Linked DNA regions of Rattus norvegicus. The protein of the gene in region 2 interacts with the protein of the main gene of each other region in a biochemical or structural test. Links are inferred from orthologs where the notes say so. Each region holds a gene or a part of one and is shown on either strand. Other genes may lie near its edges.

What was found.
Region 1: the proteins of Fgfr2 (region 2) and Fgf10 are reported together in a solved structure, tested with the Homo sapiens proteins (3 studies listed by BioGRID and IntAct, with this or other methods). The link is inferred for Rattus norvegicus from reciprocal best matches to the Homo sapiens genes FGFR2 and FGF10.

The regions. Positions count from the first base shown.
Region 1 is NC_086020.1:52,532,572-52,536,945, reverse strand, and holds the start of Fgf10 (fibroblast growth factor 10 precursor), read right to left. Parts: upstream 3,008-4,374; 5' UTR 2,282-3,007; coding exon 1,936-2,281; intron 1-1,935. UniProt on the Homo sapiens protein: Plays an important role in the regulation of embryonic development, cell proliferation and cell differentiation. Required for normal branching morphogenesis. May play a role in wound healing.
Region 2 is NC_086019.1:194,211,167-194,214,977, forward strand, and holds part of Fgfr2 (fibroblast growth factor receptor 2), read right to left. Parts: coding exon 3,740-3,811; intron 2,662-3,739; coding exon of another isoform or gene 2,514-2,661; intron 1,315-2,513; coding exon 1,170-1,314; intron 1-1,169. UniProt on the Homo sapiens protein: Tyrosine-protein kinase that acts as a cell-surface receptor for fibroblast growth factors and plays an essential role in the regulation of cell proliferation, differentiation, migration and apoptosis, and in the regulation of embryonic development.

The DNA.
Region 1 (4,374 bases), on a different chromosome or scaffold from region 2:
TGGAAATCAAGCTATGGGGATTAAAAAAAAAAAAAGACAAACAAAAACAAAAACCTGCAACCCAAGCTTAGTTCTTCCTTTGAGTGGGTACCACCACCCGATTCTACTTTAGAAGTAGGCAAAAATGTTAAATTAGGTAATCAAACCATAAGGGCTATCTATAGGATCCGTAGCACTCAGTGACAGACTTTCAAGGAGGAGTACTCATTCTTACTAATAGAATTCCAGCTACTTTCTAAGCACCAGAATGAGATACGTGTGTGTGTGTGTGTGTGTGTGTGTGTGTGTGTGTGTGTGTGTGTGTGTATGTAAAAAGGTATTTAATATTTCCAAAACTAAACTTTCAAATGCTTCTGCAAATGTATTGCTCATAAAGGCATTGCTAATTTTAATGAGCTATTAGGATACAAGCAAGTGAAGACTAGCGAACATTAATGTTGGTCCTCCGAGAAGAAATCTGAGTCTTAATTCCTGTAATCTCTATCGAAAAATAAAATGCTTAATTCTGGTCATTTGTCACTTTCATCAGGACCTGATAGACTCTGAGTCGAAACTTATGAAATGGCTATGACTCACATATTTAAGTTTACTGGCCAATATATACTCAGAATTCCCAAAGAACTATCACAAAAAGTTCCCCTTGAAAGGTGACTTGGAATTTACTGAAAGAGCCAAGTGGTCATTAAAGATGTTTAAATGTCATTGTCTACTGTCTTCAGTGCGCCATTACCTAGCCTTGGGATCCTTTCAAACAACAATCAATGGAGGATGAATAAGTCTCGGCACTTGAAAGTAACCAGGAAAGGAAACCAACAGAATAATCTGGCTTGGCTGGCTTGATTCAAGAAGAGACATGGTATCCACCCCTTCTCTCCCCATTCTTCCTCCCCTTTCAGCCCCCCAGCTCCCCACCCCCCACAAGACAGAACCAAAAGAAAGACCAGGGAGAAAGGAAACCCGGAGAGAAAGAGATCCAAGGGTCCCCTTGCAGAATGTGTGCTGGGAGACCAACCTCGCCCTATGGGATCCAGCCTTGGAAAACAGACGTGGGCTTTTACTTTGAAAATAAAAGGATGACAATGAAATTTGTGTGAGGTCTGCGTGAATCCAGTCCCAGATGTTTACAATGCTGTAGTACTATGCCTCTGCAATATGAGAGGTTTCAGAAGAAACAGTACAACAAGACACCACAAAGCAGCGCATATGCGATTGACAATGCAGACATGAGCATCATGTTACCGAGAGAAGGCAGGCAGGAGACAAATAGCAGCGGTACTGCCCGAAAAACTAACTTCATGGACTGCAATCACTCAAACCGAAATGAAGGACCCGAAAGGAGGGGTTAAAAAAAAAATCAAAACCAGGGAAAATAAACTCTTTAGCCTCTATCTAGAAGTGGTGGGGCTTTTGCTGGGGACCAGGGGGACAGTGGAAGTGACTTTTCTTCCTTCAAGTTCCCATAAAGCTCCTACAATTGACACTGGATAATTATTTTCAGCTTTAGGAGTCTGTCCCAAAACTCTTAAGATTGCCAGCGAAAAGAAACAAAATGTGTTTACTTGAGCCATTTCCAGAAGGGAGGGGAAGGAGACCTCTGGGTGAGATGGGGGAAGGTATTGGAGACAGAATGGGACATCTCCTAGCAGCAACAACTCTACAGCACCAGGAGTGATCCTGTGAGTGACAAACTAGAGAGATCAGGAACAGGGCTGCCAGGGATGTGGAGGAGGCTTGCACAGTGGAGGAAATGCTGCGCACAATGTATACTCGGGAGGGGGCTGATTTAGTGTGAAAGTATTCCACTTCATCATTTTACAGGGGTTGGGGACATAAATATTTAGCTGGCCACATCTGGAACAGATTCTGCCCCCCCCCCTCCCCGCGTGGGGTGGGGGTGGATAATTGGAAGGAGAGGAGCACGCATTTGTTACTTACTGTACGGACAGTTTTCCTTCTTGGTCCCGCTGACCTTGCCGTTCTTTTCAATCTTGAGAAAGTACTTGGTGAAGGAGAACAGCTTTCTCCAGCGGACATCTCCCTGGAGGTGATTGTAGCTCCGCACATGCCTCCCCGCGCTGGAAGGAGAGGAGAAGGAAGAGGACGAGGAGGAGGAAGAGGAGGAGGAAGAGGAGTTGGTAGCCTCCGGTGACACCATGTCCTGACCAAGAGCTTGGCAGGTGACAGGGACGGAAGACACCAAGAAGAGCAACAAGAAGCAGCAACAGCAGCCCGGCAGGTGGGGAAAGGCTGAGGCACAATGTGTCAGTATCCATTTCCACATTGTACTGAAACTCTCGGCACTGGAAATTGTCTCATCAGAAGGAACATACTGGAAGGGTAAGACCTGGTGCGAGGCAAAGAGACAGCTGGAGGTGATGGCTACTGGTTAGCTCCCTCTGGGTACGGATCTGGCCAGAAGCGAGTGCACCAACATCCATAACTCCTCGGAAGGGCCGGCTGCCTGTCCTCGCTCCGTCCTCGGATCCGCTGCCTGTGTCTCTCCAGTCTCAGGGTGAACAGTGGACGTGGGTGGCCGAGGCAGTAGGAACTGGTGGTGTCGGTCACCAGAGCTCTTCGCTCCCCCCGGGGGTTACTTTGTTCTCTTCTTCACTCCTTTCTTCACCATGTTAGATGCAAAAGAGGTCTGAAAAACAGATGACAGGACGGTGAACAAAACCCAAAGTGGGTGGGGTGGGGGTGCAGGAAGACATCTGCGCCCCTCTGCGGTTGGCACCTTCTGGTCCTTCTCTGCAGAGTCCCAGCCTGCTGGCCACTTAAAAAGTGTGTCTCTTTGGAGTTGTCAGAACTGGAGGCAGCTACCCAGGCGCTGTTGTTTTCTTCTCCTTCCTTTCTCTTTTTGGTGGTGCCTGTTGATGTGAAGTCTCCCGAAAGCCACTTCTAGTTTGGGGGGCGGCTGGCGGCTGGTGTTTTGTTTGGCCCTTCCCTCCACCTCCAAGTCCCTTGGAAAGCCGCTTGTAAACAGGTTGAAGCCTGGAGTCTAAATGTCAGTGCTTTTCAGCCAGAGGTGGGCTCTGCCTCTGCTGGTCAAACCTCATTTGCAGGGGTGGAGAAGGGGGGAGGGGGTCAAACGGCGGTGGGACATCTGAAACCCTAAGCTGCTGGGAACGCCAGAGAAAAGGGAGGGGGAAGAGGCCGCGGGGGGGGGGGGCGAGGGGGGAGCCTGGGCCAGAGGAGTGCGCGATGCCTTTGCTCTGAGCTGGGGGCTGCGGGTCCCTTCCTCGCCGCCTCCGTGGGCGCAGCCGCCCCGCAGCCTGCAGCTCCTGCTAATTGCGGCTCCAGCGTCCTGTGCTCGCAGCGCTGGCCACCAGCGCGAGCTGTCCGCGTGCTTTCCGAATTTTGCTGCCCTCCGGCGGGAACCACTCCCCTCCCCTACAGGGAGCCCCTTGCTCACTTGTTTTCCAGTGTAGCTTGCTTGCTTTCTTTCTTTCTTTCTTTCTTTCTTTCTTTCTTTCTTTCTTTCTTTGGCCGTGAAAATAAGAGTTTGGAGCTTGGCTTTTGTGTGTGGATGTGTTTCTGCCTTCCAGATCCCAGAACCAGGGAAAGAGGGCTGGGGAGAAGGCAGAAGAGGATGCTCAGGGCAAACTCTCTCCAAGAGCAGATTATAAACTGATAGGAGCTAAAGTCGAGAAGGGAGACATAATGAGCTAGCTTCGTTTCCTCCTCTCCTGCCAGCTTCCAAGGAGGTCTCCGGTTTTAATGAATCATTGATTTCTCGCTTCCGTTGCTGAAGTAAAAAGTTCACACTTTGGCCCTCTCTGTCTTTTTAAGCTCAGGAAGATTTATCGTCACCCTTAAACATCGCCTCTCTCTTGGCGCAAATGAAATCAGGGACCCAAGTTACTGATTTCTAATTGGTAACACGAGTCGTTTACAGAATCACGCATGGACTTCAAAGCCTATGCACTTTCCTGAGATCGCAGATTTTATCACACAATTTGACCAAATCCCCTGCTGCCTGTTTTTTTTCCTCTATGCAATTTCCTTTGCATTTTACCATTAAGAGGAGGTCCCCGCCCATCTTCAGACTTAATGTTTAAAGGGCTCTACTTTACAATGCAGCTTCACTACCTAACCAGTCTTCCACAAACAGTCTTGAGCACACCAACCCCCAACTCTACCTCTGCTCTCAGAAACAAGCTTTCAACCCAAACTCAGACAGAAGTCAGGACAAGACCAGGAAGCTATTGCCCTGAACCAAAAGGCACAAAGAAGGAAATACTGTAATAACCCACTCCTACCTGAGTATGCTACAGTTCTGAGTCCCAGGAGATCATTTCCTTAAGGAAATAGCTAAACTAGGGAACGACTGGCTAGGATCGGGTGAACATATATTACTCTGTTGTGGGAGTCAGT
Region 2 (3,811 bases):
AAGCAGTGTATTTCCACACAGGGTTATTCTCAAGTTGCACCTCCTTAAGGGGTAGCGCTGTCAGGCAAATTGGTTAAGAAGTACCAGGTAGGCACTTACAGAGCGCAGCATCGCAATACAAGCAAGCTCGACAGGAGAGGCATCTCTGTTTCAAGAATAAATACTCACAGAGCAGATTCATAACAGAACCAAAGGGGAAGATTGGATGCAACGGTTATCACTTTCAAGCTTATACATTTTAATCAGAAAAAAAAATAAACCAAATATTTGCAAAGGTAGTCAAAACTCTCAGCAGCATAGCACAAAACAAAACGATCCATTTATTTTTACGAGCTATAAAACAAGCATGCAGTAGGCATGGTACTCTAGAAACAAGGCATTCATAACAGGAGCAGGAGAGTACCATGAGCTGCAACCCAGTCTATGCAGGTTTCCAAAGGAAATGCTAGGCAATGCATGAGAGAGAGAGCAGCATGGACCAAGAGAGTTGGACTAGAACAGAGGCGTTGGTTAAAGGCTTAGACAGCAATGGGCTTTGCTGATGTTTATTTCTCTATGAGGCAGAAATAACATCGAGCCCGAGACAGCATACACATGCTTCTGCAGTAAAAGCAAACCAAGAGTCCGCTCTATCCAGGCATGCAGCAAGCCACCCGATTCCCAAGGTAACACACCGCTTCTGCACACCTCCCTTCAGAGGTGCTTCCTGGGCACCCCAGTACAAATTTATCTGCACTCAAATGAGGGGTAAGCGAGTCAGACCAAGAGGCATCAAACCACATATGGGCTTTCAGCAAAGTGGAATTTACAATGGGGAAAACAAATTGCTTTGAATTTCACAAAGTAATTTTGACTTCCTTCTTAGGGGGTTGGGGGATGGGCTCATTGAGTCGACATCTCAATGATTCACTAAGATTATAAGATCCCTTTGAGTTTAAAGGTAACATTTTATGTGACCATAAATTCTAGTATGGGATCTCCTTGTGCATGAATTTCTAAGACCGTTTCTTGTTCTGGGGGTGGAGGGGTCGGAAATCATTCGAAACATTTGGGGGACATCTTTATGCAATGGATAAATGGGGCTATTTCTAAGAACAGAAGCTGTGTTAATTTTATAGCAATCAACCAAGGACAGAGGCCAACCCATGGAAAGAAAGAGCTGTATGTACCTGGCAGAACTGTCAACCATGCAGAGTGAAAGGATATCCCGATAGAATTACCCGCCAAGCACGTATATTCCCCAGCATCCTCAAAAGTTACATTCCGAATATAGAGAACCTCAATTTCTTTGTCCGTGGTGTTAACACCGGCGGCCTAGAAAACAAACGAAGCAAGAAAAAGGCTAGACATAGGAATGATTGTGGAGGGGGCCTTGGAACCAAGAGGCCTTGTCCCAGCAGGTCCAGGGGGTGCTGGCCATCAGGAGATTCCAACTGCAGCCCGTCCACAAAGCCCACAACCAAGAGACACTGAGAGACACCGGCCAGCTCACCTCTGCAGGCCCATCACCACACCGGCGTCACCACCTAGACATGCATGCGATTGAACACATGGAAAAATCAGCCCACAGAGTCCGTTCTCTTTGAATTTGTTTGCATATGGATTTGGGAGTGGGTTTCCAAAAAGTATAATACCCTGAGGGCTAATCTGGGTTCTGGTCCTGTTGGATGCAGACTCCAATTGTGAGAAAAGGGGAGGCTCTTCTATTTTCTGTGTGATGGAATAAAGCACGGCAGATCAGGTGGACATCCCACACATCCCTCAGGCTCCATGGGAACCAGGGTGGGACGTTATCTTGGTGACTGGATTCTGGTTAATTTCATTCAGGCCGAAAATCATCTTGCTTTATATGATCATTGAAAGAACATGGCAGAAAGTGTAATACTGGTAACAGAAAAAACTGGATTTATGGTTTGTTTCCTTTTCTAATATGAATATGTCTGCGTGTGAAGAATGATAACTGAAAACTCCACCATCTGCCTTCACTATCCTCCAGTGTCATACGCACTAGAAGATAACCATTCTCCAGTTTTGGAAAGGATCCGGTGTGGAATCGAACCAAAGAACAAAACTTTCGTTAGGTGAATCCTATCATGCTAGCATTTCTCTATGTCACTAGCATAAAAGGCAACCAAGTCTGGCTTAATAATCAGAGAGTGCAGACTCGACGGGCATGCAAACGCAAGGCCCACGTGCACTCAGACACAGTGATCACGGGAAGTGTGCAGTCCAAACAAGACAGACCAGAAAGAAGGGCTTGAAAACAGGGTGGGGGTGGAAGATAATCTTCAAGCACTTTGAACATTGTGGGCATTTTTCCATGGCCACTGGCATGACGCCAGCTGCACCACCAAAGAAAGATCATTATAAATATACCAAGACCACAAGAGTTATTCTAGAAGCTGCCTGCTGCCTCCCAAAGCACCGAGTCTTTTTTAACTCCTATATTCAGTTTTCTTAAAAAAAAAAATAAAAATAAAAAATAAAAAACACAAACACAAAAACGTTGTTACCTTGCTGTTTGGGCAGGACAGTGAGCCAGGCAGACTGGTTGGCCTGCCCTATATAATTGGAGACCTTACATATATATTCCCCAGCATCCATCTCCGTCACATTGAACAGAGCCAGCACTTCTGCATTGGAGCTATTTATCCCCGAGTGCTAGAACAGACATAGGAAAACAATATAACGGCCAACCAGGAAGGACTCGGTGCTGCCTATGGTCCCACCACCAACACACCACAAGAAAACAATCTCCATGAATTACACCTAAAGAGCTGTGGGAGGGAGGAGATCACAATGAGTCAAGTGGTGGAGAACGGTAGTGATCACAGGAGGGCGGATGAGGTGACCAGTTGGTGGGATGGGTGAGCAGCTCTCCAGCCTGGCCGTCTTTCTCCAGCACTTTGGATCCTGGGTATTGCTGGCTAGAGAGAAGACTATAGGTTGAGTGTTCTTCATTAGCCACCTGTTGTGCCTATAGTTGAATAGGAAGACTGGCTGTCTGTTATGCCCCTTAGGAGCATGGTAGATAGACAGTGGCTTAGAATTGACAATACAGACTTAGCTCAGTGCACTGAAGAGGTGACCAGGCCCCAAAACTGAAGAGGCTAAAGCCACAAAACAATGGGTACATGAAAAAAAAGTATTTCTTTTAATACAAAGGAAAGGAAATTCTCATCGTTCATTGTTTTATAGATGTGAAAATACACACACACACACACACACACACACACACACACACACACACACCATTTACTCTCTAGACCACACAAAAATCATAAAAGGTGAGAGGGAATGTTTTTGAAAAAGAAAGTTGAATTGTTTCTAACTACTACAATTTGATTCAAATGTTATATATCAACATAGCATTGAGTATCATAAAACAACGTCAGGAAAACATTAGTAGAACTGTCTAGAGCTTTCCAGTTATTTCCATCTACTCAATCCGTCTACTCTCTACATCGCCTTGTAAGCAATACCTCACCCCAGCTTTAGCATCTCCTCAGGGCTAATAAACAGCAGAATTCTCTGGTTCCAAGTATAGCAGCCCCACCCTACTTCACAACCCCCTCCAGAATGTTATTAACAGTTCTAATGGCTACTCATTCTTTAACATACTCTACTGGCCAGTCCATAAAGAGAACCATCTCTGAAAGCCAACAGGAAATCAAAGACCCTAGCCAGATCTCCAAGGGGGCCCTCACTGCTGGCCCCTTGGGCTTCAGAAAGTTCTCACCTTCAGGACCTTGAGGTAGGGCAGCCCATCAGGTCCATATTTACTGCCGTTCTTTTCCACATGTTTGATCCA